Linked DNA regions of Macaca mulatta. The protein of the gene in region 1 interacts with the protein of each later gene in a biochemical or structural test. Links are inferred from orthologs where the notes say so. Each region holds a gene or a part of one and is shown on either strand. Other genes may lie near its edges. The genes, in order: MAPK1, GAB2, CACYBP, DUSP1, DUSP3, PPP2CA and JUN.

What was found.
Region 2: of the proteins of MAPK1 (region 1) and GAB2, one has a biochemical effect on the other in vitro, tested with the Homo sapiens proteins (2 studies listed by BioGRID). The link is inferred for Macaca mulatta from reciprocal best matches to the Homo sapiens genes MAPK1 and GAB2.
Region 3: of the proteins of MAPK1 (region 1) and CACYBP, one has a biochemical effect on the other in vitro, tested with the Homo sapiens proteins (2 studies listed by BioGRID). The link is inferred for Macaca mulatta from reciprocal best matches to the Homo sapiens genes MAPK1 and CACYBP.
Region 4: of the proteins of MAPK1 (region 1) and DUSP1, one has a biochemical effect on the other in vitro, tested with the Homo sapiens proteins (2 studies listed by BioGRID and IntAct). The link is inferred for Macaca mulatta from reciprocal best matches to the Homo sapiens genes MAPK1 and DUSP1.
Region 5: of the proteins of MAPK1 (region 1) and DUSP3, one has a biochemical effect on the other in vitro, tested with the Homo sapiens proteins (2 studies listed by BioGRID and IntAct). The link is inferred for Macaca mulatta from reciprocal best matches to the Homo sapiens genes MAPK1 and DUSP3.
Region 6: of the proteins of MAPK1 (region 1) and PPP2CA, one has a biochemical effect on the other in vitro, tested with the Homo sapiens proteins (2 studies listed by BioGRID and IntAct). The link is inferred for Macaca mulatta from reciprocal best matches to the Homo sapiens genes MAPK1 and PPP2CA.
Region 7: of the proteins of MAPK1 (region 1) and JUN, one has a biochemical effect on the other in vitro, tested with the Homo sapiens proteins (2 studies listed by BioGRID, with this or other methods). The link is inferred for Macaca mulatta from reciprocal best matches to the Homo sapiens genes MAPK1 and JUN.

The regions. Positions count from the first base shown.
Region 1 is NC_133415.1:31,122,731-31,126,886, reverse strand, and holds the start of MAPK1 (mitogen-activated protein kinase 1), read right to left. Parts: upstream 2,801-4,156; 5' UTR 2,581-2,800; coding exon 2,462-2,580; intron 1-2,461. UniProt on the Homo sapiens protein: Serine/threonine kinase which acts as an essential component of the MAP kinase signal transduction pathway. MAPK1/ERK2 and MAPK3/ERK1 are the 2 MAPKs which play an important role in the MAPK/ERK cascade.
Region 2 is NC_133419.1:78,843,459-78,847,520, forward strand, and holds the start of GAB2 (GRB2-associated-binding protein 2), read right to left. Parts: upstream 2,801-4,062; 5' UTR 2,688-2,800; coding exon 2,610-2,687; intron 1-2,609. UniProt on the Homo sapiens protein: Adapter protein which acts downstream of several membrane receptors including cytokine, antigen, hormone, cell matrix and growth factor receptors to regulate multiple signaling pathways.
Region 3 is NC_133406.1:32,456,533-32,460,729, reverse strand, and holds the start of CACYBP (calcyclin-binding protein), read right to left. Parts: upstream 2,801-4,197; 5' UTR 2,560-2,800; coding exon 2,545-2,559; intron 993-2,544; exon of another isoform or gene 732-992; intron 1-731. UniProt on the Homo sapiens protein: May be involved in calcium-dependent ubiquitination and subsequent proteasomal degradation of target proteins. Probably serves as a molecular bridge in ubiquitin E3 complexes. Participates in the ubiquitin-mediated degradation of beta-catenin (CTNNB1).
Region 4 is NC_133411.1:181,644,710-181,648,937, reverse strand, and holds the start of DUSP1 (dual specificity protein phosphatase 1), read left to right. Parts: upstream 1-1,428; 5' UTR 1,429-1,661; coding exon 1,662-2,028; intron 2,029-2,306; coding exon 2,307-2,452; intron 2,453-2,776; coding exon 2,777-2,996; intron 2,997-3,438; coding exon 3,439-3,809; 3' UTR 3,810-4,228. UniProt on the Homo sapiens protein: Dual specificity phosphatase that dephosphorylates MAP kinase MAPK1/ERK2 on both 'Thr-183' and 'Tyr-185', regulating its activity during the meiotic cell cycle.
Region 5 is NC_133421.1:68,127,572-68,131,821, forward strand, and holds the start of DUSP3 (dual specificity protein phosphatase 3), read right to left. Parts: upstream 2,801-4,250; 5' UTR 2,758-2,800; coding exon 2,633-2,757; intron 1-2,632. UniProt on the Homo sapiens protein: Shows activity both for tyrosine-protein phosphate and serine-protein phosphate, but displays a strong preference toward phosphotyrosines. Specifically dephosphorylates and inactivates ERK1 and ERK2.
Region 6 is NC_133411.1:143,104,930-143,108,429, forward strand, and holds part of PPP2CA (serine/threonine-protein phosphatase 2A catalytic subunit alpha isoform), read right to left. Parts: intron 187-3,500; coding exon 13-186; intron 1-12. UniProt on the Homo sapiens protein: Catalytic subunit of protein phosphatase 2A (PP2A), a serine/threonine phosphatase involved in the regulation of a wide variety of enzymes, signal transduction pathways, and cellular events.
Region 7 is NC_133406.1:181,864,979-181,869,095, reverse strand, and holds JUN (transcription factor Jun), read right to left. Parts: upstream 2,801-4,117; 5' UTR 1,817-2,800; coding exon 812-1,816; 3' UTR 484-811; downstream 1-483. UniProt on the Homo sapiens protein: Transcription factor that recognizes and binds to the AP-1 consensus motif 5'-TGA[GC]TCA-3'.

The DNA.
Region 1 (4,156 bases):
ATCACTATTCAAATATTAGTGAATATTTCAACAAGCCCTCCATAAACCCAGCACTGCTAGCCAACATTTATTAAATGCTAATAACGTGCAATGGAGAAGGTTAACAGCAGGGTATGTCATCAACCTGATAAAAGGCTATAATCTGGATCTAGGATTCAAATTCCAATTATATTTGTATTTCACTTAGGAAAAGAAAATCACAAAAAGAGGACTTAGCATTTCAAATGGAGAGTCAGATGGTCAAATAAGCCTACAGCAGTGACAGAAGTGGTTCCCACATCTAAACAACTTCAGACTAGTAAAAATCTTATCAGACAGGAGAAATCTTATCAGATGGGGGTATCTTTTCAATTGACATGTCCTAAACGTAAAAGACTTTTTTCAGTCCACATTTTAGATAAGCTAATCTTGTTAAAAGGGCCAAAGGATGTGATGGGAAATTCTGAGCCTCTCATAATGAGACATGTTCACTGGCACGCTTCCCAGTGAGTGCAACAGCAATGAGATGTATGGTGGAGAAATAATGCTACTGGCAATACTTTCTCTTCATTACTTTTCAGGGCCTTATTTCTTTTAGGCTCGACCTAATTTAAATTCTCTCTTGGCTCCTAAGCCTGTGAGTTCATATTAATTTTCACAGTTGTATTCAGCATTTTGCTCCTAAAGAAAGTGAAAACATTAAAGATTCAATTAAAGTCTCTTTTAAAAGAATTTTAACTAATCTTTCTATCTAGCTACCATACTTGGTAAAACATGCCTTCTATGGCATTTCTAAAATTATGATGATTGAAATTTGAATACATTTCTGAAACAGACTTGTATTTACTTTGTAACAGTAAGATACAGAAAATTCTGCAAGTATTAATTACACTAAGGAACGCAGAGTGTTTTCCTAAAGACAGCTGAAAAGAGCTGCAGTGTGTCTAGTAGAATCTCAGTCTACAATCTTAATAACTCTAGTTCTATGACCTCAGGAATTGGCTTCACCTCGAAACACTTTCTCACCTGAAAAAAGGAATAACACCATCTTTTCCTCCCTCAATGTGGCTGTTCAAATAAAATGAAATAATATATGTAGCACAGTACCTGCCACGAAGTGCTCAATAAATTATTAGTTTACTTCCTTCAGTCAACACAAAAGACACATTCACAAGATTCAGATTTAAGGAAATCTATTTCCACAAGTCCTCACCAGCACAAAATGCTACCGCTAGTTTGCTTTAATAAAAACAATACCGTCAGCGGCGCGCGGTGGCTCACGCCTGTAATCCCAGCACTTTGGGAGGCCGAGACGGGCGGATCACTAGATCAATAGATCGAGACCATCCGGGTCAACATGGTGACACCCTGTCTCTACTAAAAAATACAAAAATTAGCCGGGCGTGGTGGCGCGCGCCTGCAGTCTCAGCTACTAGGGAGGCTGAGGCAAGAGAATCGCTTGAACCTAGGAGGCGGAGGTTGAAGTGAACAGAGATCGCGCCACTGCACTTCAGCCTGGGCAACAGAGCGAGACCCCGTCTCAAAAAAAAGAGAGAAAGAAAAACCGTCACTATCATTTCACTTTTCTAAGGGACCTGAATCAAGATGAGGGAGTCTACACGTGATTCTGCAATAACTCCATTAAGGCTGCATACATAATGACCACTAAATCATTAACAGGAGTCCATAGCAATTGGGCTAAAACATCTGGGAGCATTTATGCTGGTAAAAGAGCTCACTTGGGGGCTAAAAAAAAAGTCAAATTAGGCCCAACTCTAAATGGATCTTTAATAAATGAAGAGAGTAATGTTGGTTTATCCTTCCTGAAACGCTAGCAGTACGATATTAAAATCCACTTGAAAGTACAAACTTCAAGACGGAAATACTCCACCAACACTGGTGTCAGTAATCCATTTTAGAAAGCCTGCGCGGAGACCACCATTAGCACCGCTGAGGACAGTTAATGAAAGCCGTTGGCTGCAAACAGAGGCGAGGAGAGAAAAATTATTTCGGTGTTCTGCACACACACGGAGGCGAACCGCTTTCAGGACCTCAGCAGCCACCGCCGCCAACACCGACAAGCATCTGATGGAATTCCCGGTTTTACAATCGAAAGTCCAAAAGAAGGCCATGATACTAGCAAATTGGGGGGTGGAGGCGCTTCCGTTGCCTTCCCGAGGGTCCAGACTTTAAAGGCGGCGCTGCGCCCGGGGCCGAGGGTCCACTAGTCCCGGCCTCCGCCCCCCGCCCCCCACGCTGCGCCCCTTCCCGAGCGACCGCCGGCCCGGGAAGCGCGAGAGCAACACCACCTAAACCTCAACCGGCCCAGGGCCCCGCCCGAGCCCTGGCGCGCGGACCGCAGTGAAGTCCGGGTTCGAGGTCGCCGCGGCGCCCGAGGCCGAGGCGCCGGCGAGGCCGAGGCTGCGTCCGCTGCGGCCCCGGGCGGCGGGGGGGCCGGGCGTGGCCGGGCGCGGACACTCACCACACCATGCCGTAGGCACCCTCGCCGATGTACGAGAGGTTGGTGTAGCGCGGTCCCACGTCGAACACCTGCCCGCGGACCATCTCCGGGCCCGCGCCCGCCGCCGCCGCCGCCGCCATGTTGGCTGCCGGGCCGCCGCCGCCTCCGCCGCGCTGAGCTCGACGCTCGGCGGCCGCCGCTCAGCTTCTATCGCCCCTCCTGAAGGGACTGTGCCGCCGCCGGTGCAGCCGCCGCCGCTGACCGGGAGGAGGAAAGAAGACGCCGTGTGGCAGACCTGAAGAGCCCACGACAACTCGTACCGACTGCCTGCCTGCCTGCCAGACTGACGGGCGGGCCGGCGGGCGGGCGGAGGGAGGGGCGCGCGCCGAGAAGGGTGCCCGGGCGGGGCCAAGCAGCGTGCATGCGGATTGGTTCCTAGCGGCTGGGGGCGGGGCCGCGCGGCCCAGCGGAAGCGGCGGGCTCCGGGAGGGGTACTGCGCGGCGTTGACTAAGGGGGCACCAGCGGGCGCGGTCACGTGCGTTCGCGGGGGCGTCGGCGCGGGACTTGTCTCTTCAGACACCCAGGGAGACAGACGTGGGGCAGAACCCACGGGGCTGAAGTGAGAGATGGCAGGGGCCCGGGCGAGCACCCGAGGAAGTACCGAACAGAGCCAGCGAGGGACAAGGGGCTGTGCTTGAGGCCCGACGACGCGCCATAGCCCGGCCGCGCCACAGCTCAGGCCTCTGCGAATCCGTGGTCCACACGCTGATGAACTTAAGAGGCCTTGGCACTGGGGCAGAAACCGAAAGGCATGACCCCAGACCGAGAAAGATATTTGCATACTGAGAAAGTGTGAAACACAATTGTTGAGATTAAAAGGAGACAGAGAGGATACGCGAATCAGGTTGGTTCAGATGTTTGTTGAGCACACTCCATGTTCCTGGGAGTTACTTTTTAGAGAGAGACAGACAGACAAATACGTGTAATACTCAAGTTGTGATAAGTAGGATGAAGAAGTACAGAGCAGAAGGGAGGGTGCGGTGTCTCACGCCTGTCACTTTGGGAGGCCAAGGCGGGCGGATCACTTGAGATCAGGAGTTTGAGACCAGGTCTCTACTGAAAATACAAAAATTAAGTCCGGGCGAGGTGGCTCATGCCTGTAATCCCAGCACTTTGGGAAACTGAGGCGGGCGGATCACGAGATCAGGAGTTCAAAACCAGCCTGGCCAACATGGTAAAACCCCGTCTCTACTAAAAATATAAAATTTAACTGGGCGCGGTGGCGGGCGCCTGTTATCCCAGTTACTTGGGAGGCTGAGGCAGGAGGATGGCTTGAACACGGGAGGCGGAGGTTGCAGTGAGCTGAGATCGCCTCACTGCACTTCAGCCTGGGCGACAGAACAAGACTCCGTCTCGAAAACAAAATAATAATAATACAAAAATTAGCTTGGCGTGGTGGTGGGTGCCTGTAATCCCAGCTACACGGGAGGCTGAGGCAGGAGAATCGCTTGAACCCGGGAGGAGGAGGTTACGGTGAGCCACGCCACTGCACTCCAGGCTGGGCAACAGAGCAAGACTCCGTCTCCAAAAAAAAAAAAAAAGGAAAGAAAAGAAAAAAGAAATACAAAGCAGAGAGTAAGGGATTAGGGGTCAGTGGGTCGAAACACATGAGAGATACATTTGCGTTCGGAAACAGACCCAGATTGGTACAGATG
Region 2 (4,062 bases), on another chromosome or scaffold:
ATTTTTGTATTTATGGTAGAGACGGGGTTTTGGCCAGGCTGGTCTCGAATTTCTGACCTCCAGTGATCTGCCGGCCTCAGCCTCCCAAAGTGCTGGGATTACAGGCATAAACCACTGCGCCCAGCCTTCGAATTAAATCAGTTTTTTAAAAAATCGTTTTAAATAGTTATAACCTAGTTCATCAACTACTTTTTCCCCTTATCTCATATGCTTGTGGCATTCTTATAAAGAGGATTTCTCAGTACAATATAACATGACTATGATGTATACCAGAAGCAGCAGCTACTTTGGGGTAAATATACAGCCATTAGGCTGGGAAATACTTTCCAAGTTTGGTTCTGATGAACTCGGGCCTCTACTGAAATAAGCAAACTAGCAGAGTTTTAACTTACAACAGGATGCAAAAATTCTTAATACCCCCAAAAACAGTAGACGTAAAAGAATACTGTTCCCCGGAAGCTTAAGGTTACACAGATCAGCAGTTTCAACTGGGGGGAAACTGAACTTTCGAAAGGGCAGAGGCTTCCAGTCATGTAAGTGAACACATCACATCCTGGCCTAAGAAAAGCTGTTACTGAAAGCTGTTAAGGTCTGACACCTGATGGGCTGAAGGTGCATCGAAGATGGGAAAGAGAGGCTAAGGCCATCACACGATTCTAGATTCGTTCAAATGAGTGAAAAAGGTGCTTGACCCAAATGCCTCCAAACCTGGTTTTTTTGAACTAAAGTTGTTTGGGAACAAAAACACCCAAGAAATGGGTCATAAAGAGAGTCTGGGTGAGCGTTCAAGGAGCGGTAAGTCAAATGGAGATACAATGTCATACTGTTTGCAAATTGTTTCAAAAACAAGTTTCAAGGTTTAGTGTAGTGTTCAAATTTGAAAACTAAGGGTCACTTTTTCTTTTTTTTTTTACTGTGGACACTCTATTCCACTAGCTTGTATGGAAATCTATTTGTAAAGATAATTTTTGGAAGCTCTTTGGGACAAAGTTTTAAAAATATTTATTAAATTGTTAATAGTAAATCACTGCTCCTTAATCCTAATTAAAGTATTCAACCTTCCTAACGAACTGATACAAGCCTGAAGAGGAAAAAAGTGTATTTCTTAATAATTATACTTTGGCTACATAGACACTCCTAAAAATGAGCTTTCAAACTGAGATGAACAATTCACTGCTTCATCCCTCCTATAAATCCACGTCCACTTTCAAAAGTCATGTGCTAAATCAGAATTTTTTTTTTCCTAGCAAACATCTACGTAAGAGCCTGATTTCATTGACACACACACTTGCACTCCGCAACAACAACACTTCCTTTGAAAAACAGAATGTCACTTCCTCAGTCCAGAGGCCAGAAGTCCCTTGATTCTGATCTGGGGAGCCAAGACAGGAAATTCTGGTAGGCTTCTGCTTCTCCCCCCATGGACAGCCACTGGTGCAGCTGACAGAGGGCAGGGTCTATTCCGAGCTCCCTTGATGCACTGCAGCTGGAGGCAACGGCTCCCTTCCAGGCTGTGGGAGTGATCCCGGAGTCCGGCACCACAGCCCGTTAAACAAGGGCATTTCATGGGAAAAGGAGAGGGAGCAGATGAGAGACCTTGAAACCTTCCAGCCACCTTACCCCCACTTCCAAACTCCCGCGACTACCCTAGGACCATTTCGGCAAAATCTCAGTAACTGGCACCATCTTGTACTTTGACCTCACCAGGCAAGGCATCCTCTGGGGAGAGGGGTTAAAAAAAAAAAAAAAAAAAAAAAGCCAGAACTCCACGGCTCAGCGCCACGCCGTTCCACCTCCCCCAAACTGCCAGTTCCCCACCTAGAGGGAAGAGGCTGTTCCAGCGATGTCAGTAAACACTGTGGGTTGGCAACACCTGGGCGCCGAGAGCCTCGATCTCTCCCGACCCCAGACAACCGGGAGCTGCCAGGTCCCAAACCCGGGCCAGCCACGGGGACCAAACTGCAGTGTCACACCGGGGTCGGGGGAGGCGCCTGTGAGAGACGAACGGAATAAAGGGAGAGAAGGGGGACAAACAAATGAGTCACTTAATACAAGGGCTGCACATGCCGCTGACGCTGCCGGTGATGCAGCCGCGGACGGAGTGAGGCCGGCGGCCGGGAGGGGCGGGCGGAGAAAGGGAAGGAGAGGGCGTGAGGCGCTCGCCCTTTGTGGGGCCGTCCGCGCGGGCCCACAGCCTACGCCCCCCTTTCCCGCCCTCTCCCGGACCTGTGAGCTGAAGCTGCTAGGGGCCGCCGCGGAGCCCCAGCCCCGAGAGTCAACTCTCTCGGTCTCCAGAAGCCATCAATACAAACTTCGACACTATATTTAGTTTACGGGCAGACCGCCTGGGGAGGCGCCGACGCCGCGCCCGCCTGGCGGAGCAGGAGCCGCAGCCTCAACCTGCCGCCCGCCCCGCCCCGCCCCTCGGCGGCGCACCTGTGACAGGTGTGCAGGTACCCCACACGACCCTGGCCGCTCCTCGCCCCCGGCCCCCGCGGCTCCGGGCCCGAGCTCCCCAGCCTGCCGCCCCTCCGGGAGCCCCCCGCCCCTCCGCAGGCCCCGGAGCGCCCCCCGCCCGCCCGCCCCTCGGCGGCCGCGCCCGCACTCACATAGCGCCTCAACTTCTTCTCGGGAGGCGATTTCCTCAGCCAGCCGGTGCACACCACGTCGCCGCCGCCGCCGCTCATGCTGCCGGCCTGGAGCCCGCCGCTGGGTCGCGCGGACTAGGGCGCGGGCTCGGGCAGCTGGGGCAGCGGCCGGCGGTGCGCAGCTCGCGGGAGGCCAGGGGCGGGGCGGGCGGCCCGGCGGGGACTAGGCGGCGCGGCGCGCGCCCGGCGGCCTCGCGCGCGCCCGCTCCCCCGCCCCGAGCGCGCGCAATCCGCACTCTCCGCCGGGCCGCCGCGGGGGCAGTTGCAGCGGGAAGGCCGGCGCGCTCGCCACGCCCGCTCCCGCCGCGCCCCCGAGGCCGCCGCGCACGCGGACGCGGGGCTGGGGATCCGCCAGGACACAGAAAGCCACCGCCGCCGGCGAGCCCCGGAATCTCGCTTTCTCCTGAGGCCTCAAGCTGCGGGCGCGGAGGCCGGGGAGGCGGCCGCGCCCCTGGCGCTGGCGGGCGTGCGGAGAAGGGACTGCGCGCCCTCCGTCGTCGATCGATTTTTCACCGAGCGTCGACGGGGAAGGGATCCGAGGGTTGCTCGCGTTTCCGATCCATTCTGCGGGTCAGGTTCCTGCTGAAAGGAGGGACCCCTTCCCAGTAAGAAGTTCCTTAACTCTGGCGCCCCTCGGCGGGAGGAGGAGACGGACCTACTACGCGCCGGAGCCTTTGCACTCTTGGCTTACAGGATTGTCTTCAGTATTGTTCCCATTTTATGGACTGCCTAAGGGCAAGGGCTTGTACAAAGCCTAGCCAAGTTTCCAATTCAGGTGTGTGGGGGAGGAGGGGTCCCAGTCATCCCCTATTCAAAATGAGGGCATTGCCTTAATGGGATCAACCTGGGAGCCTCTCATTGCCTGGAAACAAAGTCCAGCTGAGTCCCTCCTACATTGCCTCTAGGAAAACAGTTTAGTATAGAAAACTCGCATGATTTGTAGAATGGAAGAAGCAAACCTAGTAAATATATTTCATAGTGAATTGGAAGGCAAGGTCAAGTGTAGAAGAACAAGAAATTGGGGTCCAAATTCCCCAACGTCCCCGCTCATTGACAGTGTCTCTCCAAGCAGCACTAAAAGGCAGGTCCTCCCTAACTTCTCTGATAAGTGGATAGTATCCTGTTTATTCAATGGGGAACCGTGCTGTGTGGACAGATGAATTGGAGAAGCAGCATCTTGCACTGCCCCACACAACCTTAGACTAAAGCTGTTTTGTTCATTTCTGTCTCTGTGCAGCTGAGATGTTTCAAGCAGTTGGACATCATTTGGTCCAACAGATCTTGATTGGGTTGGGGGAAGTTCACCCTCCTCAGTTTGGAAAAGCGAATCCGCTATCACGTACTTAGCTCTTCTAGATACCCTAGGAGTTTTAGCAGTCAGTCTCCTGGATCTAACATTTCACTGACTTTCTTC
Region 3 (4,197 bases), on another chromosome or scaffold:
TCTTTTTATTATAAAGTATCCACTGAAAAAACTTAAAACTGAGACAGTTCCTCAGTTCTGTTGTTGGCAGACTTGAAACCAAAAAAAGATCTGCTTTTTCTGCACAAATACTTTAAGATGTCCTAGATAGTTTCTTATCTAATTTATCATGTAATTTTCCTTGCCTTCTTGGCATGTATTTGTTTTACGTATATAAAAATTTTATTTCCCTTTTATCCCTACCCGTAACGCATTCAAGCTCTATCTTCCTATTTCCTAATTTTTCACTAGGAGGCATTAACACCAATGTGCCTCAAAAATGGGCAAAGGAATTCAACACACATTTCTCCAAAGATACAGAAATGGACACCAAGAACATTAAAGATGCTCAACATCTTCATCATTGGGTAAACGCATATCAAATTCCCAAGATACCACTTCACACCCAGCAAGATGGTGTTATAAACCAAGAAACAAAAATAGAACACCCCAGAAAATAACAAATGTTGATAAGGATGTGGAGAAACTAGAAGCTTCAAACACTTCTTGTGGAAATATGATGCAACCACTCTGGAAATAGGTCTAACAGTTTCTCAAAAAGTTACCATTTGAACCAGTAATTCCACTCCTAGGTATATACCCCAGAGAACTGAAAACACATCCACACAAAAAACTTGTACACAGCACTCGCAGCAGCATTATTTTTATGCTAGTCAGGAAGTGGAAATAAGCCAGGGCGCCATGGCTCACACCTGTAATTCCAGCACTTTCAGAGGCCGAGGCGGGCGGGCAGATCACTTGAGATCAGGAGTTCGAGACGAGCCTGGCCAACGTGGTGAAACCCGGTCGCTACTAAAAATACAAAAATTAGCAGGGCATGGTGGCGCGCGCCTGTAATCCCAGCTACTCAGGAGGCTGAGGCAGGAGAATCCTTTGAACCCGGGAGACGAAGATTGCAGTGAGCCGAGACTGCGCCACTGCACTTCAGCCTAGGCGACAGAGCGAGACTCCATCTCAAAAAAAGAAGTGGAAATAAATGTCCATAAACGGATGAAAGGATAAACACAATGTGCCATACGCATATAATAGAATATTATTTAGCCATAAAGAGCATGTGTACTAATACACTCTACACCATGGATGAACCTGAAAATGTTAGTGCTAAGTTGAAGAAGCCAAAAAACAAAAGGCCACATACAGCGTGACTCCATTTATATGAAATGCCTAGAATCCGCAAATTCACAGAAAGTATAAGATGAGTAGTTGTCAGGGGCTGAGGGGGAATAGGAAGCAATTGTTTAAAAGACACTAAACGGTTTCTTTTTGGAGTGATGAAAATGTTCTGAAACTAGACAGTGGTGATGGCTACACTACACTGAATATATTTAAAAAAAAAAAAACAAAATACCTGAATTATACACTTTAAAATGGTTAAAAACTTGAATTTTATCTCAAACAAAACAAAAATGAAGTGCCCTTAAATGTCTACTTCTACGTACCTAAACTGAGAACGTTCTCTACTCTCAAGAGGACTAATACTGAGCTATCCACCTGCATGACTGATGTTCTCTCCTAGGGGCACATAGTACCCAAGACCTACCTTAAAAGACTTGTCACAAGATACCTAGATTAATACTAGAACACACAAATCTCAGAGTTTTTCTTCATTTAAAGAAAAGATTTTGAGTTAAAAAAAAAAGGCTTGGGATTTCCCAGTACTTGTTTTCATAAAGCAAATCTAGTTACTACACACACAACACTTAACTGTGAATAACTGTTCCGTCTTCACCTCCCCCTTAGGCCAGGAAATGAGCAATACAAGTACTATCATTCCCATTTTCTAACTGAGCAAACCAAGTCTCCATAAAATTTAATTCTCCAACGTTCAGAGTTTACGGAGCTTTAACACAGGCCATTGGGTTTCTTACTATTAATTACAACTAATTTTCCAAGTTATTTATTTTAAAAATCACATACAGCAGATTGCTGTTTGCCAATCACTGGTTTAAACCCCTAGAAATCATACTTTTTAACAACTCTATGAAACGGATGCTACTGCGACACTGAAAAGCTAAACAACTTGCCCAGAGTAACACAGCTCCTCGTGTGTAGAGAAAACATGACTAAGAGAATTCAAGTGCTAGCACCGAAAACTTCTCACCCTCCAACCGCCCTCTACCATAAACGACACTCATGTTTGCACCCAGCTTTGCTTGAATGAAGCTTCCTGTCCTCTGGCTGGGAAACCAGCGCAGAAAGGGCCTGAGGAACACGCGCAGGGGGCAGCTCTCTCAGACCCACTCCCCGCACCGCCTGCACGGAGAATCGCCGCACACCCCTGCTCCGGCCCGGCAGGCGGGTGGGGTGCGAGGCCGAGGGGAAGCGCGGGGAGCCGACGGCGCAGGAAAGGGCGAATGAGGCGTCCCCCAGGGAAGGCGGCGCGCCGACTGCCGCGGCACCGGGTCGCCGCAGGGCGGCTCAGCCCACGGAAACGGCGGTGGGGCGGGAGGCTGGCACTGCAGCTCCAGCCGGGGAGCATGAAGAAGATGGGGCCGAACCACTTACCTCTTCTGAAGCCATGGGGGCTGGATCAGGCCGAAGGCCCGAGCTGCAGCCGCGCAGAGGAGAGAACAGGAAACGCCGCGCGGAGCCCTCAAACCGAGCGCAGACGCCCACTCGCACGAGTCGCGGCGCCGCAGCCCGCGAGCACACCGACCCTGCGCGAGATCGCAGCCCGCCTCCCGCACGCGACGGATCTGGAACCTTCGCGAGGCCGCCGCCGCCACCGCCCACCGCGAGCACGCTCCACCCGCCAAGCCTGGCCCCACCCCTCCCCGCCTCGCAGAGTGTGGCCCCGCCCCTCCCCGCCCCGCCGAGTCTGGCTCCGCCCGCCTGCCGAATCTCCTAGCAACGCTCAAGTCTCGCGAGCGAACCAGCAGTCCGAGCAGAGTAATGCCTTACTCTCCACCCCGACAACTTTATGTATTGTAATTTGACCGCACTAGGCCAGGCTGCGCAGTCGCAGCTCGGAACCGCTGCCTTAACCCAGCCCCGGAAATAACGTACCGATTTTCGGAGTCCAAGTCGGAAGATGAGTAGAGTCTTCCGTCCGTTCTAGGACACCAGACACACCAGGCAGCCATGTTGTGTAAGGCTAGTCTCTCAGCCTCCGCGAGAAGGCAAAAAATGGGGAGAAGGAGCTGCCTGGTTATGTTCAAACGAGAATGAATGGATATGTTAAGCGTGGAGGACTCCTAATGGTAGCGGTTTGATTTTCAGTGAGTTTGCCGCAGTGGAGACGTCACCGCTCTCTGTCCGCTCCGACCTCGTGTCGTCATCATTGGCCGCGGTAGGAGGTGGAGCTGCGTTGGCCACATGACCCGGCCCCGTGGCGGAAGCCCAGGTCAAGGCCCTAACGAAAGGGTCGGCGTTTGGCCACAGTTTCAGACCCTCCTTTTGTCGTGGACTGTTGAAGCATAATTTCCTGGTGCTTTCGCCTCTTTCACCGACCATTTCAAGAGTCCGTAGTTCTCGCCTGGGTTTGGATTCGGTATAAGTGAGCCTGTTTACCATCAAAGAAAATGGTGGAATGTCTTCTGGAGACGATGTTCTCTTCTGGTTCTAACGCTGCCTCTCAGCGAGACCCCAGAGAAGCCTAGTTTTCAGGTTATTCTAGTCCTTGGCAGGCTCAAGATGTCAACAACACGGTTGGAAACAACCCCTCAGAGATCACATAGCCCGCGCTCAGCTTTTTTGATCGTCCAAGGCGGCGACCCCTGAGAGGTTACATAGCGAGCACTCAGCTTTATAGATCGCCCAAGGCAGCGATTAGAATCAGCAACTCGGAGAGGAAAAAAAGCTCTTAGCGAAATGGAGGCTGACCATTATCTGTAATAAAGAATCGGAAGTACAGTACAAAAATAAATTACCGAAGCGCAACATGCGTGAATTTCACACAAAAAATAACATTAAGGGAAAGAAGCCAGACACAGAAGAGTTCATATTGTGTGGTTCAATTTAAATGAAGTCTAAAAACTAGCCCATGGTGTTAATGAGCGTAGTGGGAAGGACAATGACGTGGAAGAGCCACCAGGGGGCTTTTGAGGTTCCGGTAATGTTACTTGATTTAGACACTGATTTATAAATAGGTGGGTTCACTTTAGAAATTAAGTTGTAAACGTATTTTTATGTACGTAGTTTCTTCTATAGATTATATTT
Region 4 (4,228 bases), on another chromosome or scaffold:
CACAACGACGACAGAGGGTGGCCAGTGAAATCCCCTCCCCCAGGAGGGGAGGAAACCGCAGAATGTTCCTGACTCGGCACCCGGGCCGGTGGCGCAATGTTTATGTTTGTGTACCTAGCGCGTCGCGTCGCTGCAGCAGGCTGTGCTGTCCAGGGGGCCGTCACTGGGACTCAGGGCATGGATATCGCTGGGCGTTGGGGGCGGGGGGTCTTCCCAAGCGTTGCGATCCATGTCCTGGCAGTCCGCCCACAACGGCCCGGGATTGGATTTTGCCTTCAGCCTATAACGGAAGCGACGACAGGGAGCGAGGGTTGGGGCCGGCTTCTGTTCCGGGTTGGAGCCCCCCAGCCCAGCGCTTAGTGGGCGCTCACTCAGTATACTGCCTATTTGTGTAATAAAGGGATGGAGAAGCTCGGTCTGGAGCCAAGGTGACAGAAACGTGTCGGGCGGCCCCTGGGGGGAGCCGTCGAGTCGCGCTGCGGGTCGCCCCTCACCCCTCCAAACGCCAAACCCGGGAATCCACCGCGGGGCCTTGCGACCCCCGACCGGGATTTCAGCCCCTTGACCTGCCTTCCTTGGCTCCAAGTCTTCCAGGGGCCACAGACTAGGAATAGCATTATTTCCCGGTGGGGGTTTGCTCGCTTACACTTTCATGGCAAATGTAGATATTTTAAAGCCACCTTAAAGAAAGTCGGGGAAACAGGAAAGCATTGCCCTGAACCTCTCCGCCCCAACTCGCTCGAGTCGTTTTTGGTAGGAACGACTTTTCTATCGGCAGAGCTGTTCATTTTTCTCCAAACTTCATCTTAGGCGCCTCTGTGCTGCCCCACGCGCCGCCCCACCCCACACCCCAGTAGTGTGGTTCTGGGCAAGTCAGTAGCTTCGCTTGGGGAACCTCAGTTTCCCCGCCTGTTAGTGATGAGGAAATGAGAGAAAGGGGCACAAGAGTATGCAAAAGCGCAGGAAGCCCCTTTCGGCTCAGGTCGAAGGCCGAGGGGCACGGGGAAGGGGACTCGGGGAGGGAGAGACGGAGGAGCGGCGAGGCCAAGGCAGGTGGCACGTCGCCCATTCTCCCGGCCGCTCGCATCCCAGAGGTCAGCCTCAGCTGGCAGCGAGCCCTCCGCCTCCCCGCTGGGCCCGGAGCGCGGCGCGGGCCCAGTCCCTGGGGACGCGCCAAGAGCAGGCCGGACGGCAGGGCGGGGGCCGGGCCGCGAGCCAGCGCGCAGCAAGCGGACCCAGCTCCGAGGCTGATGACGTCTTCCCCTGTAGCTCGGCGGCGCCGGGCCGGGCAGGGCGGGTGACGTCACCGCCCCGTCACGTGATCACCATTCAAACAAACACCCTCCTCCCCCTGCGCGCGGGTCAGGCCCGCCCCGTCGCCCAGAGGCCTCATATAAACGAGCTCCCCGGATAGGGCTCGCTGCGAAGGACGTTCGGGCTGTGTGTGCGACGTGGTTCGAAGGGGCAGTCGGGGCAACCGCGAAGAAGCCGAGGAGCCCAGAGCCCCGCGTGACGCTCCTCTCTCAGTCCAAAAGCAGCTTTTGGTTCGGCGCAGAGCGACCCGGGGGTCTAGCTTTTCCTCGAAAGGCGCCGCCCTGCCCTTGGCCCCGAGGACAAAGAGCACCGCAGGGCTGATCACGCTGGGGGCGCTGAGGCCGGCCATGGTCATGGAAGTGGGCACCCTGGACGCTGGAGGCCTGCGGGCGCTGCTGAGGGAGCGCGCGGCGCAATGCCTGCTGCTGGACTGCCGCTCCTTCTTCGCCTTCAACGCCGGCCACATCGCCGGCTCTGTCAACGTGCGCTTCAGCACCATCGTGCGGCGCCGGGCCAAGGGCGCCATGGGCCTGGAGCACATCGTGCCCAACGCCGAGCTGCGCGGCCGCCTGCTGGCCGGCGCCTACCACGCCGTGGTGTTGCTGGACGAGCGCAGCGCCGCCCTGGACGGCGCCAGGCGCGACGGCACCCTGACTCTGGCGGCCGGTGCGCTCTGCCGCGAGGCGCGCGCCGCGCAAGTCTTCTTCCTCAAAGGTACGCCCTCGGGGAAGCTCGGGGCGGGCCGCACACCCCTGAGATTTTGCCCGGTACCCTCGGCTCTTGGCTCCCGGGGGGTCGCCCCACCTGCAGCGCGTGGGCGCTGGAGTACATTTATCTCTGGAACTTGTCATTGGCTTTGTTTGGCTCTGGGAACAAAGACTTGCCTGGGCCTTTCCGCTGTAAACTTCCAGCCCTTGGTGGGTGGGGGAGTCGTATGAAGGTGCCCTGTCCCGGCGTCACTGAGGAAAAAAAAAATGTCTTTGTATTCCCAGGAGGATACGAAGCGTTTTCGGCTTCCTGCCCGGAGCTGTGCAGCAAACAGTCGACCCCCATGGGGCTCAGCCTTCCCCTGAGTACTAGCGTCCCTGACAGCGCGGAATCTGGGTGCAGTTCCTGCAGTACCCCACTCTACGATCAGGTTAGTAGGTGTCCCTGCCACAGGGGAGAAGTAAGAACTGGCAAAGGCACGGAGGAGTGGTGCCAGGGAGAATATAGAAAGTGACCTGCAGCATTATTTATAACGGAGGGGACACAGGGATATGATTGTAGGCTCTACAGAAATGAATTTGCTGGTCCTGCCCAGGCAAATGGGCTTAGTTCCCTATTTATTTATCCTCCAGCAACAGAACTGAGTTCACTCGCTATCTGAAATTGACTTTTCCAGCAGAAAGTTTTTGTGGGTGTGGGCACTGGCCTTGGCTTTGAGCGAGCTTGATGAATGTTGGATATTTCTGGATTTCAGGGTGGCCCGGTGGAAATCCTGCCCTTTCTGTACCTGGGCAGTGCCTATCACGCTTCCCGCAAGGACATGCTGGATGCCTTGGGCATCACTGCCTTGATCAACGTCTCAGCCAATTGTCCCAACCATTTTGAGGGTCACTACCAATACAAGAGCATCCCTGTGGAGGACAACCACAAGGCAGACATCAGCTCCTGGTTCAACGAGGCCATTGACTTCATAGGTAAATGGAATGGATGCCTGGGGCTTTTCTGCCTCTCTCTTCTCATTTTAGCCCCTAAGCCCAACCTCTGTGGCAAGAGCTTGAAGTCTTATGAGCCTTCTTCCAGACATTCAGTATCAGTCTGGTGTGGGCAACATTCCTGCAAAATGTGAATTTGATTCAATGTCCCACTTTACAGATTTGCAAACTGGGGCTCACAAAGTTGAATTGACTGGTGTGAGATCTATCTGCTGAGTGGAAATCCCCAGTCTGAGTTTAAATCCTGTGCCATCCTTTGCGCAGTGCCCAAGTTGCTTCCATGAACAGTAGCCATGTGATGGCGTGTGGTGATGTTGACCATTTCTAGACAAGACACACATGACCTTTCTCAGATACACTGTACCTGGGCTTGGGGTGGTTCTCCTGAGCTCTCCAGTAACCAGCCGCTCCTTTTGTTTTCTAGACTCCATCAAGAATGCTGGAGGAAGGGTGTTTGTCCACTGCCAGGCGGGCATTTCCCGGTCAGCTACTATCTGCCTTGCTTACCTCATGAGGACTAACCGAGTCAAGCTAGACGAGGCCTTTGAGTTTGTGAAGCAGAGGCGAAGCATCATCTCCCCCAACTTCAGCTTCATGGGCCAGCTGCTGCAGTTTGAGTCCCAGGTGCTGGCCCCACACTGCTCGGCAGAGGCTGGGAGCCCCGCCATGGCTGTGCTCGACCGAGGCACCTCCACCACCACTGTGTTCAACTTCCCCGTCTCCATCCCTGTCCACTCCACGAACAGTGCGCTGAGCTACCTTCAGAGTCCCATCACGACCTCTCCCAGCTGCTGAAAGGCTGTGGGAGGTGAGGCTCTTCACATCCCACTGGGACTCCAGGCTCCTTGAGAGGAGAAATGCAGTAACTCTGGGAGGGGCTCGAGAGGGCTGGTCTTTATTTATTTAACTTCACCCGAGTTCCACTGGGTTCCTAAGCAGTCGTTGTGATGACTTAGCGTCAAGACATCTGCTGAACTCAGCACATTCGGGACCAATATGTAGTGGGTACATCAAGTCCCTCTGACAAAATGGGGCAGAAGAGAAAGGACTCAGTGTGTGAGCCAGTTTCTTTTTGCTCGCTCCTGTTTTTTGTAGAATCTCTTCATGCTTGACATACCTACCAGTATTATCATTCCCGACGACACATATACATATGAGAATATACCTTATTTATTTTTGTGGAGGTGTCTGCCTCCACAAATGTCATTGTCTAC
Region 5 (4,250 bases), on another chromosome or scaffold:
TAAAAATCATAATTGGTTTGAATGGTGAAAAGGCCCTTTTATTTCATCTCACAAAACATCCCAGCCCAAATGGCAGTTTATACTTTATAAAATGTTACCTCCTATGTGATCTTGTTTGCTTACTGCGAGCAGCCCTGTGAGGAACAAGGATGGCAATATCCCCGCTTAACAGAGCTTGAACTCAGGGCCAACAGGATGAGCAGAGGGATAAGCACAGGCCCCATGTGCTGCCGGTGGCAGAGCTGGGGGAAGATCTCCTTTCTCCCGACATCCAGCCCTGCTCTATCTTACACCTCACTCTGCCTCTCATGCCCACATCTGCTGCAAAACCCCCAAGGCCTGGCAAATGTGGCTCACACAGGCTCTGTCTCTGCCTTGTGAGGACATGGCTGCAGCCCTGATTTTGTTAAGGGGATGGAGCCCAAGTCCTCTTGGTGCTTGGTGCTCACTGATCCTTCCTGTTGAGGAACCTCCACACCCCTGGCCAAGTCAAAGTCAGATGTGCTTAGAGGGCAAGGGATGTATTTTCTACAGGGGCCATCAGCAATTGCCACTCTGGCTACACCAGACGTGCACAACCTTGGTTTCCACTTGGGAAGTGATGACAGCTGAATGGCCAAGCTGCCCAAGCAAGCGGCGTTCCTGAGGCTAACAAGGCCTGCTTGCTGCTTGGGGCAAGAGGAAGGGTGTCTCTAGAGCTTTGCAATTCCTGAAGCCTTTGGCTGACACTGTGGGACTCTGTTTATTCCTGCTTAGGACACTGCACAAGACTGTAAAGCAGTGGCTGATAGAAAAAAATCCTTTGAAGAGTCACTCCCATTCATCTAATACTTTTTTTTTTTTAGATGGAGTTTCACTCTTGTTGCCCGGCTGGAGTGCAATGGCACGATCTCGGCTCACTGCAACCTCACCTCCCGGGTTCAAACGATTCTCCTGCCTCAGCCTCCCAAGTAGCTGGGACTACAGGCGTCGGCCACCACGCCCAGCTAATTTTTGTATTTTCAGTAGAGACAGGGTTTCACCATGTTGGTCAGGCTGGTCTTGAACTGCTGACCTCAGGTGATCCGCCTGCCTCAGCCTCCCAAAGTGCTGGGATCACAGGTGTGAGCCACCGCGCCAGGCCTCTAATACTATTAATAATTCAATATTCAAAAAATTTACCATTATCATTATTACTATCTCTACTATGAATGAACATTGTACAGTGCCTGACATAAAGTAGGCGCTCAGACTGGTGAATGAATGATGGAATGGATGAGAACTGTCCCCATGAGGCTAGGGCCTGATGGACCCCTTCTAGTTCCACGATGAACCCCATTTCTGTGGCAGTCCTTGGCAGGCTGAACAGCAGGTCCTAGCAGAGGTCAGGAAATACATACATGAACAAGACATTGACCCTGTCCTTGTAGTCCCTCACACACTCTGAGCCACCATTTCCTCCTCTGTAAAATGGGAGGAGGGTTAGTTTTGAATTTTCAACATGCCATCCTTGGGCTGAGCCATGGAGCTTAGGATTTTGGTAACTGGGTCCTCAGAGTCTCATGAAAATCCAACCTGAGCCTTTCCAAGGCTGTACAGGCATGCTAATCTATTCTTTCTTGTGGCTCCTATTTCACATCTCAGAATTCTAACACTGGTTCTCTTCTGCTGATTAGACATTCTTACTATAAAAAATTTTAAAATTTAAATTAAAAAAAAAATTCTTACTGGCCAGGCGCAGTGGCTAACGCCTGTAATCCCAGCACTTTTGGAGGCCGACGCGGGCAGGAGTTTGAGACCAGCCTGGCCAAGAGACCAGCCTGACCAATATGGCAAAACCCCATCTCTACTAAAAATACAAAAATTAGCCAGGCATGGTGGTGGGCACCTGTAATCCCAGCTACTCGGGAGGCTGAGGCAGGAGAATTGCTTGAACCCAGGAGGCAGAGGTTGCAGTGAGCCGAGATCGCGCCCTCCAGCCAGGGTGACAGAGCCTGGGAGTGAAAGGTCAAGAGCCTTTTCTAGGTAATGGCTCAGGTCCTTAGGGGGATTATCAGTGGACCGTTCTAGAATCTCCTGTAAATCAAACCACATCTGGAAGGTGGGGGCCTGGAAATCCCGGCCCAGCTCCCCGGACTCGCTCGTTTGGGGTGTTTAGGTTCCCTGATCCGGGACTGCCGGGCCAGGAAAATTCCATGCCCGAATTGTGACGTCGGCCCGTTGCCATGGCGGCGAAGGCAGACATTCCGCGGTGACCTCACTGCAGAACCAGGCAGCTGTCACATGACGCGCTGGCAGGAGACCGGCCGGGCGACCGAGGGCCACCTGTTAAGTGAACATGGTAGCCCCGACCCCGCCCAAGGCCAAGCCCCAAGGGGGTGGCGGCTGAGGACCCAGGCAGGCGCCCCCCGGGCTCCGTGCACCCCGCGACGGGGAATGGCCGCGCCCGGCCAGGCAGGGTTCCAGTTCCTTGGCCCCACGCGCTGGGGTAGGCGTCGACTCCAGCCACCTCCCAAGCCCCCGCTGTGGCTCCCGGAGGGGCGATCGCGCCCGGGCTCCCCCAACCCAAGACTCGCGACACCCCGACCCCGGCCTCGAGTGGGCGGGGCGTCCCGAGAGGGACGGCGGGGCCGGGCTCACTGGGGGGACTCACGCGTTGCCCACGTAGATCCGCGGGGTGACCTCGTTGCAGGGTTGGCTCGGGAGGCTGTAGCAGCCGCTGCCGTCCGAGAGCAGGTCGTTGAGATCCTGCACCGAGAGCTCGAACGAGCCGGACATGGCGGCGGCGGGGCCCAGCACGCCCGGCAGGAGCAAGCGAGGCGGAGAGCGGCGGGTCAGCTGGGCGGGGGCTCGCTCCGGGAGCCGCCCAGTCCCGCCCCAGGGGCGGGCCCGCAGGGCTCCGGGAGCTGAGGAGCGCGGGCGCCGTGACGCGGGGGCCCAGCGCGCCACTCCTGGGCGCGTCCCCGGGGGGAGACGCCACCGCCCTCGAGTCTCGGGAATCCTCGCCCCATCCCGGTCCAGGCCGTTTGTGTATCTTTGTGTATCTTTGTAAACTGGGAAGCGCGGTAACTTCCTTCCCTGAATTAAATGCAGGGCCCAATAAACGTTTCTGTGGCGGGGGTACACCTAGAGGTTCCTTCAGTCTTTCAGGATTACAGGGACCGCGGGGTTCGGCTCGTGAGCGGCTCCCTGCTGTGGAGGCATCACCCGGGCGCTTGACAGAATCAAGCGCCCAGGTGATTGCTGGAAGAGTTAAATGTGACATTCAAGGAAGGCACCCAGCACTGCATGGCGAGCACTCAATAAGTGTTGGTCCTTCCTCAACAAATGCGTTGAGCACCCAGTGGGTGCTACACCCTGTGCTGGGGTGGAGATCAATCAGACTCCTGCAGCCCTTCCTGGAGCAGATGCCAGCCCACCATAAGCCACTCAGCATTTCCTGAACTCCCACTAAGTACAAAAGATAGTCTGTACTGGAGGAAAGCCGCCCTCCCCTACTGCCATGAAAGACTGGCAGTTCCCTTCCTGCAAAGAGCAAATTTGGCCTTGAATTCAGGAACCCCACATCCTGAGCCCAGCCCTGCCACTAATTTGGTTCTTTTTTTTTTTTTTTTTTTTTTTTGAGACGGAGTCTCGCTCTGTCGCCCAGGCTGGAGTGCAGTGGCCTGATCTCAGCTCACTGCAAGCTCCGCCTCCCGGGTTCACGCCATTCTCCTGCCTCAGCCTCCCGAGTAGCTGGGACCACAGGCGCCCGCCAGCTCGCCCGGCTAGTTTTTTGTATTTTTTAGTAGAGACGGGGTTTCACTGTGTTAGCCAGGATGGTCTCGATCTCCTGACTTTGTGATCCACCCGTCTCGGCCTCCCAAAGTGCTGGGATTACAGGCTTGAGCCACCGCGCCCGGCCTAATTTGGTTCTTGAGTAACATTGCTGCTGCTGTGGTCTTCAGTTTCCTCATTTGCAAAAGGAATTGGATCAGATTATCATTAGGGTCAACTTTCTCCTCCCCCAAAACTTGTGGTCTTGCACCTTCAGGCAAGCTATTGCAGTGGAGACTACTTAGCTGATAGCCCAAGATGTGTAACCAAGGCTGGAATTTCTGTACCCCTCACCCCACCCCATCCCTGGCCACCCCTCCCAGCACACCACTCCTTTCCTTCTGGTGTTGGCTGGTAGCATCTGCATTCTAAGCAGGGGAGAACGCTTTCGAGTTCCTTGACTTGAGCCTAGGTTAGCATTAAAAACACAAGCCCAGAGGCAGCCAGCCATGCTC
Region 6 (3,500 bases), on another chromosome or scaffold:
AGATCCACATACCTGCCCATCCACCAAGGCAGTGAGAGGAAGATAGTCAAAAAGATCTGTAAAATATTTCCATACATTTGCATTTCCATATTTTCTTAAACACTCATCATAGAAACCATAAACTTGTGTGATCTGTCTGCTCTCATGATTCCCTCGAAGAATGGTGATGCGTTCACGGTAACGAACCTAAAACAACAAAATGCAAAACATAAACAACTAGCTCTTTCAAAAACCAATGAAAATTCAAGAAACTTTCTATAGCAAAAAATGCAGAGTTACAATTTTGTTGAAAAAACAACACACATCCTCATATCATACTGAACCAAAACCACAGCTCTACACAGTGTTTAAATGCCCATGGGATGTTTGCCCACATCATCTCAACTAAAATCAAACTCCCTCTACCACCAACTTTATACCAAACATAATCAATGGCATACAAAACCACATAAACTACTTTACAGTTCAATAATTTTTCACAAATTTATAGTTATGCAATAATCACCACAATCCAGTTTTAGAACCTTTCCATTATCCCAAAAAGATCCCTAATGCAGTCACTCTCCACTCCCACTCTAGCTCCTGGCAACCACTGATTTACTTTCTGTCTTAAGTTTGTCTTTTCTAGAAATGTCATATAAATGGAATACAAAATGTAGTCTTTTGGCTAATATCACCTAGAATATTTTTGAGGCTCACCCATGTAATGGCATAGATCAGTGGTTTGTTCCTTTTCATAGTTGCACAGTCCTTCACTGTACGCCTATACCATTTTTTGTTTCTCTATTCACAGGTAAGATGAACTGGTAATTATGTTATTGAGGTTTTTGGCTACTATGAATAATGTTGCCATAATCATATGCGTGGAAGTTTTCCTGTGGACATATGCTTTCATTTCTCTTGGGAAGATTCCTAGGAATGTAATTGTTGGATCATGTGGTAATGTTTAACTTTTTGAGAAACCGTCAAGTTGTTTTTCAAAGTAGCTAGACCATGTTATATCCCCACCAGCAATGCATGAAGAGTTTAATCTCCGGTATTAACCAACACTTGGTATTATCAACCTTACTGATTACAACCATTCTAATAGGTGTGAAGTAGTATCTCAGCTACTTTAATTTGCATTTCCCTGATTACAATTGATATCAAGCAGCTTTTCATGTGCTCATTGACCACTCATGTATCATCTTCTTGGGTAAAGTATCTATTCAAATATTTTCTCCATTTAACAATTATCTGTCTCGTTATTGAGCTATAAAAGTTGTTTTTTTGTTGTTGTTTGCTTTTGTTTTCTAATATCTGAATACAAGTACTTCTTTTCTGGTGTCATCTTTTGAAGAAACAGAATCTTAATTTTGATAAAGTCCAATTTTTCAATTTTTTATGGATTGTGCTTTTGTTATATCTAAGAATCTTTACTTAACCTGAGAAAGATTTTCTGGTTTTTTATTCTAGAAGTTTTGTAGCTTTAGCTCTTACATTTAGATCTACGATACATTCTGATCCATTTGCTTCAGCACCATTTACTGAAAGAAACATCCTCTCTCCCGGTATTCTTTTGCTAAGGCTGCCGCAACAAAGCATCAAAGAACAGGCAGCTTAAACAACAGAAATTTACTTCCTCACAGTTTCAGAGGCAGAAGTCCAAGATCACGGTGTCAGCAGAGCTGGTTTCTTCTGAAGGCCTCTCTCCTTGATTTATGGATGCTCATCATCTCCATCTCTCTTATCTTCTCCCCATTTGTGTCCTAATCTCTAATAAGGATACCACTTACACTGGATTAGGGTCCAACCATGTGACCCCATCACTTTACCTTAATTACCTGTCCAAATACAGTCACATTCTGAGGTGCTGTGGGTTAGGACTTAGACAAATGAATTTTGGGGGCTACAATTCAGCCCATTACACCTCCATGAGTAATTTCTCCCCCCCAGATAGGGTCTCACTCTGTCACCCAGGTTCAACTGCACTGGTGTAGCTCACCGCAGCCTCAAATTCCTAGGCTCAAGCAATCCTCCCACCTCAGCCTCCAGAGTGGCTAGGACTACAGCACATGCCAACATGTCTGGCTAAAATTGTTTTCTGAAGAGATGGTGTCTCACTAGGTTGCCCAGGCTGCTTGCATAAACTCTTAAAGGTAGCACACTCATTCCTCTTTGAGCACTGGATTCATCCTGGGTTTTTATTTTTAGCACAGGTTAGCTCTTTTCATAGTATTTGGAGTCACCGCAGAAACCTTCCACCATCTAGTCCAACTCCTTCATTTTACAGCTGCAGAAAATAACAACCTCCAAAAATATTTTGTAGCATTTTACACAATTCAGATATTAATCACGAAAATTCAGCTCAAGCTAAAACCACATCTCAATGCTTCTCTAATATTAGGAAAGTCTGTGACAGTCATTTTATCATTTTGAATATTATTTAATAAAAATCAGTCTGTTGCCTAGGAAAATTTTTTTTAAAAATCTCCCCAAGATTTTTAGGTAAAGATAAAGTCAAACAATTTATTTAAAGGGAAAGGCGGAAGCCTGCCACCCTAACAGCTATTTACCATGTTTTGCTTCATGTTCAGATCATCATCGGTACATTCTGCAAAGCTACAACTGGCATGTAATGCATGTAATTTTGGAACTTGCTTTTTTCAGTTATCATTTCTATTGTTCTAGAGTTTTGTTTTTTGAAGACACAGGGGTCTTGCTCTGTCACACGGCTGGAGTGCAGTGGTGCACCATGGCTCACTGTAGCCTTGACCTCCCAGGTTCGAGTGATCCTCCCACCTGAGCTTCCTGAGTAGCTGAGACTACAAGTGTACACCACTGTACCTGGCTTTTTTTTTTTTTTTTTTAACTTTTTGTAGAGATGGGGTCTATGTTGACCAGGCTGTTCTTGAACTCCTGGACTCAAGTGATCCTCTCCGCCCTCCCCAGCCTTCCAAAGTGTTGAGATAACAGGCGCGAACCACTGCACCCAGCCTATTCTAGATTATTACTGTCATGGTTAATGGCTGGAAACTATTCAACTGAGATAAACTATAATGTACATATTCACTGTTAAATATTTACAGCAAATGTTTTCTTGAATTTCTTCCTCAGAAAAAATCTTTTTTACTTGAACAAGATTCTTCCTTGTTTTTTTTTTTGAGACAGGGTCTCACCATCACCCAAGCTACAGTGTGGGGTGGCAAGATCAAGTCTCATTGCAGCCACGACCTCCTGGGCTCAAGCAACTCTCCCCACCTCAGCCTCCTGAGTAGCTGGGACTACAGGCCTGTGCCACCACACTTGGTTAATTATTATTACTATTTTTTTGTAGACAAGGTCTCACTATGTCACCCAGGCTGGTCTCAAACTCTTGGACTCAAGCAATACGCCCACCTTGTCCTGTCCTCCCAAAGTGCTGGGATTACAGCCACGACTCACCGTGACCAGCTGATGTAAACATTGACATTTGGTATGTTTATACATTTATAATACTTCAAAAGTATCTAAAAACACAA
Region 7 (4,117 bases), on another chromosome or scaffold:
AACTCCACCTAGATAGCTAGTATCTATAGATGATGCAGAAAAGAGGTTAGGGGAGTACTTTTCAATAGTTTATTGTATTTTCTTAAATATCCTTTCTGGAATTTTCAGAAACAAAACATAAAAAAATTATATACTTTATTACAAATGGTAAACTCAGAGTGCTCCAAATCTCTTATTTACAAACAACACTGGGCAGGACACCCAAACAAACAAACAAGAAATAACTTACAAAGGCATGAAGCTGTTTATTGACAGTAATCAGCTTTCATCAAATTAAAAAATATATATATGTACATACACAGTTAACGAAGGCAGGCCAGAAAGAGTTCATCTGTAGGCTCAGCCTCGCTCTCACAAACCTCCCTCCTGCCGCCCCTCCCCAGCCCTCCCCCCCGCTTTGTGTTCTTAATGAGTACTACAGAAGCAATCTACAGTCTCTATTGCAGTTTGTAACCCCCTCCCCCTCCCCCCTTTAATACTGAATGAGATCGAATGTTAGGTCCATGCAGTTCTTGGTCAATGTTAACGAAAAGTCCAACGTTCCGTCCGCGCGGGGACAGCCCGTCCGCAAAGCGGGGCAGCCCGCAGGCGGCCGCTCCCTGGCTCCACGCCAAGGGAGGGCGCGCCAAGTCCTTCCCACTCGTGCACACTGGGGGCGCCGTCAGGACGCAACCCAGTCCAACTTGGATACCCTTGGCTTTAGTTCTCGGACACTTCTTTTTTCTCTCCGTCGCAACTTGTCAAGTTCTCAAGTCTGTCTCTCTGTGTTATTTTTTTTCTCCGTTGCCCCTCAGCCCCCAACAGTCTCTCTTCAAAATGTTTGCAACTGCTGCGTTAGCATGAGTTGGCACCCACTGTTAACGTGGTTCATGACTTTCTGTTTAAGCTGTGCCACCTGTTCCCTGAGCATGTTGGCCGTGGACGCCAGCTCCGAGTTCTGAGCTTTCAAGGTTTTCACTTTTTCCTCCAGCCGGGCGATTCTCTCCAGCTTCCTTTTTCGGCACTTGGAGGCAGCAATGCGGTTCCTCATACGCTTCCTCTCCGCCTTGATCCGCTCCTGGGACTCCATGTCAATGGGGGACAGGGGCGGCGTCTCGCCAGGCATCTCGGGCACTGTCTGAGGCTCCTCCTTCAGGGCTTGCAGCCGCGGGTGCTGCACGGGCATCTGCTGGGGCAGGTGGTGCGGCGGCTGCGGCGGCGGCTGCTGCTGCTGGGGTTGCGCGGGAAAGGCCAGGCCGGCCGCGCCGTAGGAGGGCGCCCCGCCGCCGCTGCTCAGCGCGCCTGGGTTGAAGTTGCTGAGGTTGGCGTAGACGGGCGGCTCGCTGTGCAGGCTGGCGCTGAAGCCTCCGCTGCCGCTGCCCCCTGCCACCGAGGCTACCGCTGGAGCTACCATGCCCGCCCCGCTGACCGGCTGCGCCGCTGACGTGACGCTGGGCAGCGTGTTCTGGCTGTGCAGTTCGGCCAGGGCGCGCACGAAGCCCTCGGCGAAGCCCTCCTGCTCGTCTGTCACGTTCTTGGGGCACAGGAACTGGGTGGGGGTCGGCGTGGTGGTGATGTGCCCGTTGCTGGACTGGATTATCAGGCGCTCCAGCTCGGGCGACGCCAGCTTGAGCAGCCCCACGTCGGGCGAGGTGAGGAGGTCCGAGTTCTTGGCGCGGAGGTGCGGCTTCAGGCTCCCCACTGGGTCGGCCAGGTTCAGGGTCATGCTCTGTTTCAGGATCTTGGGGTTACTGTAGCCATAAGCTCCGCTCTCGGACGGGAGGAACGAGGCGTTGAGGGCATCATCATAGAAGGTCGTTTCCATCTTTGCAGTCATAGAACAGTCCGTCACTTCACGTGAGGTTAGTTTGGGCTGCGTGCTGAAGTTTCGGGGCCGCAACAGCGCTCTGGCAAGCGGGGGACACCCGTGCCCCCCGGGGCCTTTGGCAGGGAAAGTTTCTCTAAGAGCGCGCGCACCCGCTGGTTGTCGTCCCCGCTGCGCCCTCCTCACCAGCTCGCTCCAGGGAGCGCAGGGTTAATTAAGATGCCTCCCGCACTCTTACTTGTCGACTCGCGCGCGCGCTACCCGGCTTTGAAAAGTCGCGGTCACTCACTGAGCGCTCTTCGGGCGCCGCCGTTCCTTGGAGTCCGCGGGCGAACTCGCTTCCCAGAGCAGCGGCTCTCCCGGCGGCGCGGATCAGTGCCGACCCGCAGAGGCCGACCAGCGGCGGGTCTCGGCCGCCCAGACTCCGACGACTTGTCCCCTCCTCCGCTGCGAGGGGGAGGGGGCGCCCGGCAGCCGCGGCTCGCGCTCGCCCAAGTTCAGCAACCGGTGCGAGCGAAGCTGAGCGCACGTCCTTCTTCTTTTGCGTGGCTGTCCGCCGCCTCCTGGTCTTTACCGCCGCCGAATAGCCTAAGACGCAGGAAAGGCTTGCAAAAGTTCGCTCCGGGACTCTGGGCCAGTTGTCTCCGGTCCTCCGGGCCGAGAAAGTTCTTTGCTGCTGCAGTCGCTCGCCGACTTCCCCCGGCGGGCGCGTGGGTACCGCTGCTCGCCACCGCTGTCAACAGCGCCTGGGCAGCAGGGCTCTCCTCCTGGGGGCGGCTGGAGACCAGGCTCTCTGGGCACTCCTCGTAACACCAGCCCGGGAGCCACAGGCGCTAGCTCTGGGCAGTTGGAGAGACGGTGGAAAAGAAAATAAGATTTGCAGTTCGGACTATACTGCCGTCCTGGCTGGCTGGTTGTGTCTGTCTGCCTGCCTGAGTCCGCGCACCTCCACTCCCGCCTCGCTGCTTCAGCCACACTCAGTGCAACTCTGAGCCCTTATCCAGCTCGAGCTCAACACTTATCTGCTACCAGTCAACCCCTAAAAATAGCCCATGATGTCACCCCAAGGCCTTCCCATTGGCTCGCGTCGCTCTCAGGGGGGCGGGCCCGCCCGTCACCATGGAGACTCCACCCTAGAAGATTCTTCTCTGGGCCCGCGGAGGCTCACGGGATGAGGTAATGCTCCGCTGCCCTCCTACAGTCGGGCCCTTCTTTCTCCTACCCTCCCCCCTGCCGCACGCCTCTCGGCCCTCTCTTCCCCGGTCCCCTCCCCGGGCCGTTTTTCCCGGCCCGCCCGGTGCATTGTGGGCTGACGTCTTGGGGTTTGACTGTCTAGTGACGGTGGCTGCCGCGAGCGGGCGGACGCTCGCAACATCTGACGGAGGGGGCTCAAGTTCACGGCTGCGGACTGGGATGCAGGGGATGCGGGGACCCGGGAGGCCAGGGAACCCGGCCAGTTGTTTTGGGTCAAGGGTGCGGGCGAGGGGTGGTTGTGTTTCCCCACTTGTGGGGCTCGAAGTCATCCACCGGCGTCCGCCACCGCGCGGGGCGGGAGGCTGAGAGTCCAGGTCCGCCGCCCCCCCGCACTTCCGGGGGGCGGGAGCGCCGCCCTTAAGGTGGCTCTGTGAAGTCCCAGTTGGGGGCGAGCCTAAGGGGGCTTAAGTTTGGGGGCGGTCTCCCGAGAGTCGGCCCCCCACGTTGAGAAACGCTGCGAAGTTTGCATCTCGGTCAAGTTCAGGAGGGATGGTCCGCGGGGTTGTCTGGCTGCTCTTAGAAGCTGAGAGATTTGTATTGCCCAAAACTGGACGCTCAGCTGAGTCTCCGTTGCACCCCACTTCATCCTCCGGGACCGTGGGGGAAAGGGCGCGGGGGATCACAGCTTTGCCTCCGAGGGGCAGTTTTTATAGTGGGCGCAATTAGTGGGTAACAGGGTCCAGATGGGAACAAGCGTGTAGGCGATCCGAAACTCGGGGAACCCCGGTGTTAGTCTACTCCCCTTCCCGCCCCCGGACAACACACACACGCTTAACACAACACGCACAACATGCGCGCGCGCACACACACACACACACGCACACACTCTCCACCCGCGCCGAGTTGCTTCCGGGAAAACAAGCTCAGAAGGCGGGGGACACTCGCATAAAGTAACGCAGTAGAACTCAGGAGCCCGGGGTAGAACCTGGACTTCAAATCTCCGCCTTCCCGGCCGGGTGGTGGGCCCATATCCTGAGTAGCCTCTAGGAAGCGCTAGACACATGTAAGTGGTTCCTTTTCCGCGGTTGTTATTTTATCTTCCCCCCGCCCCCCACCCCT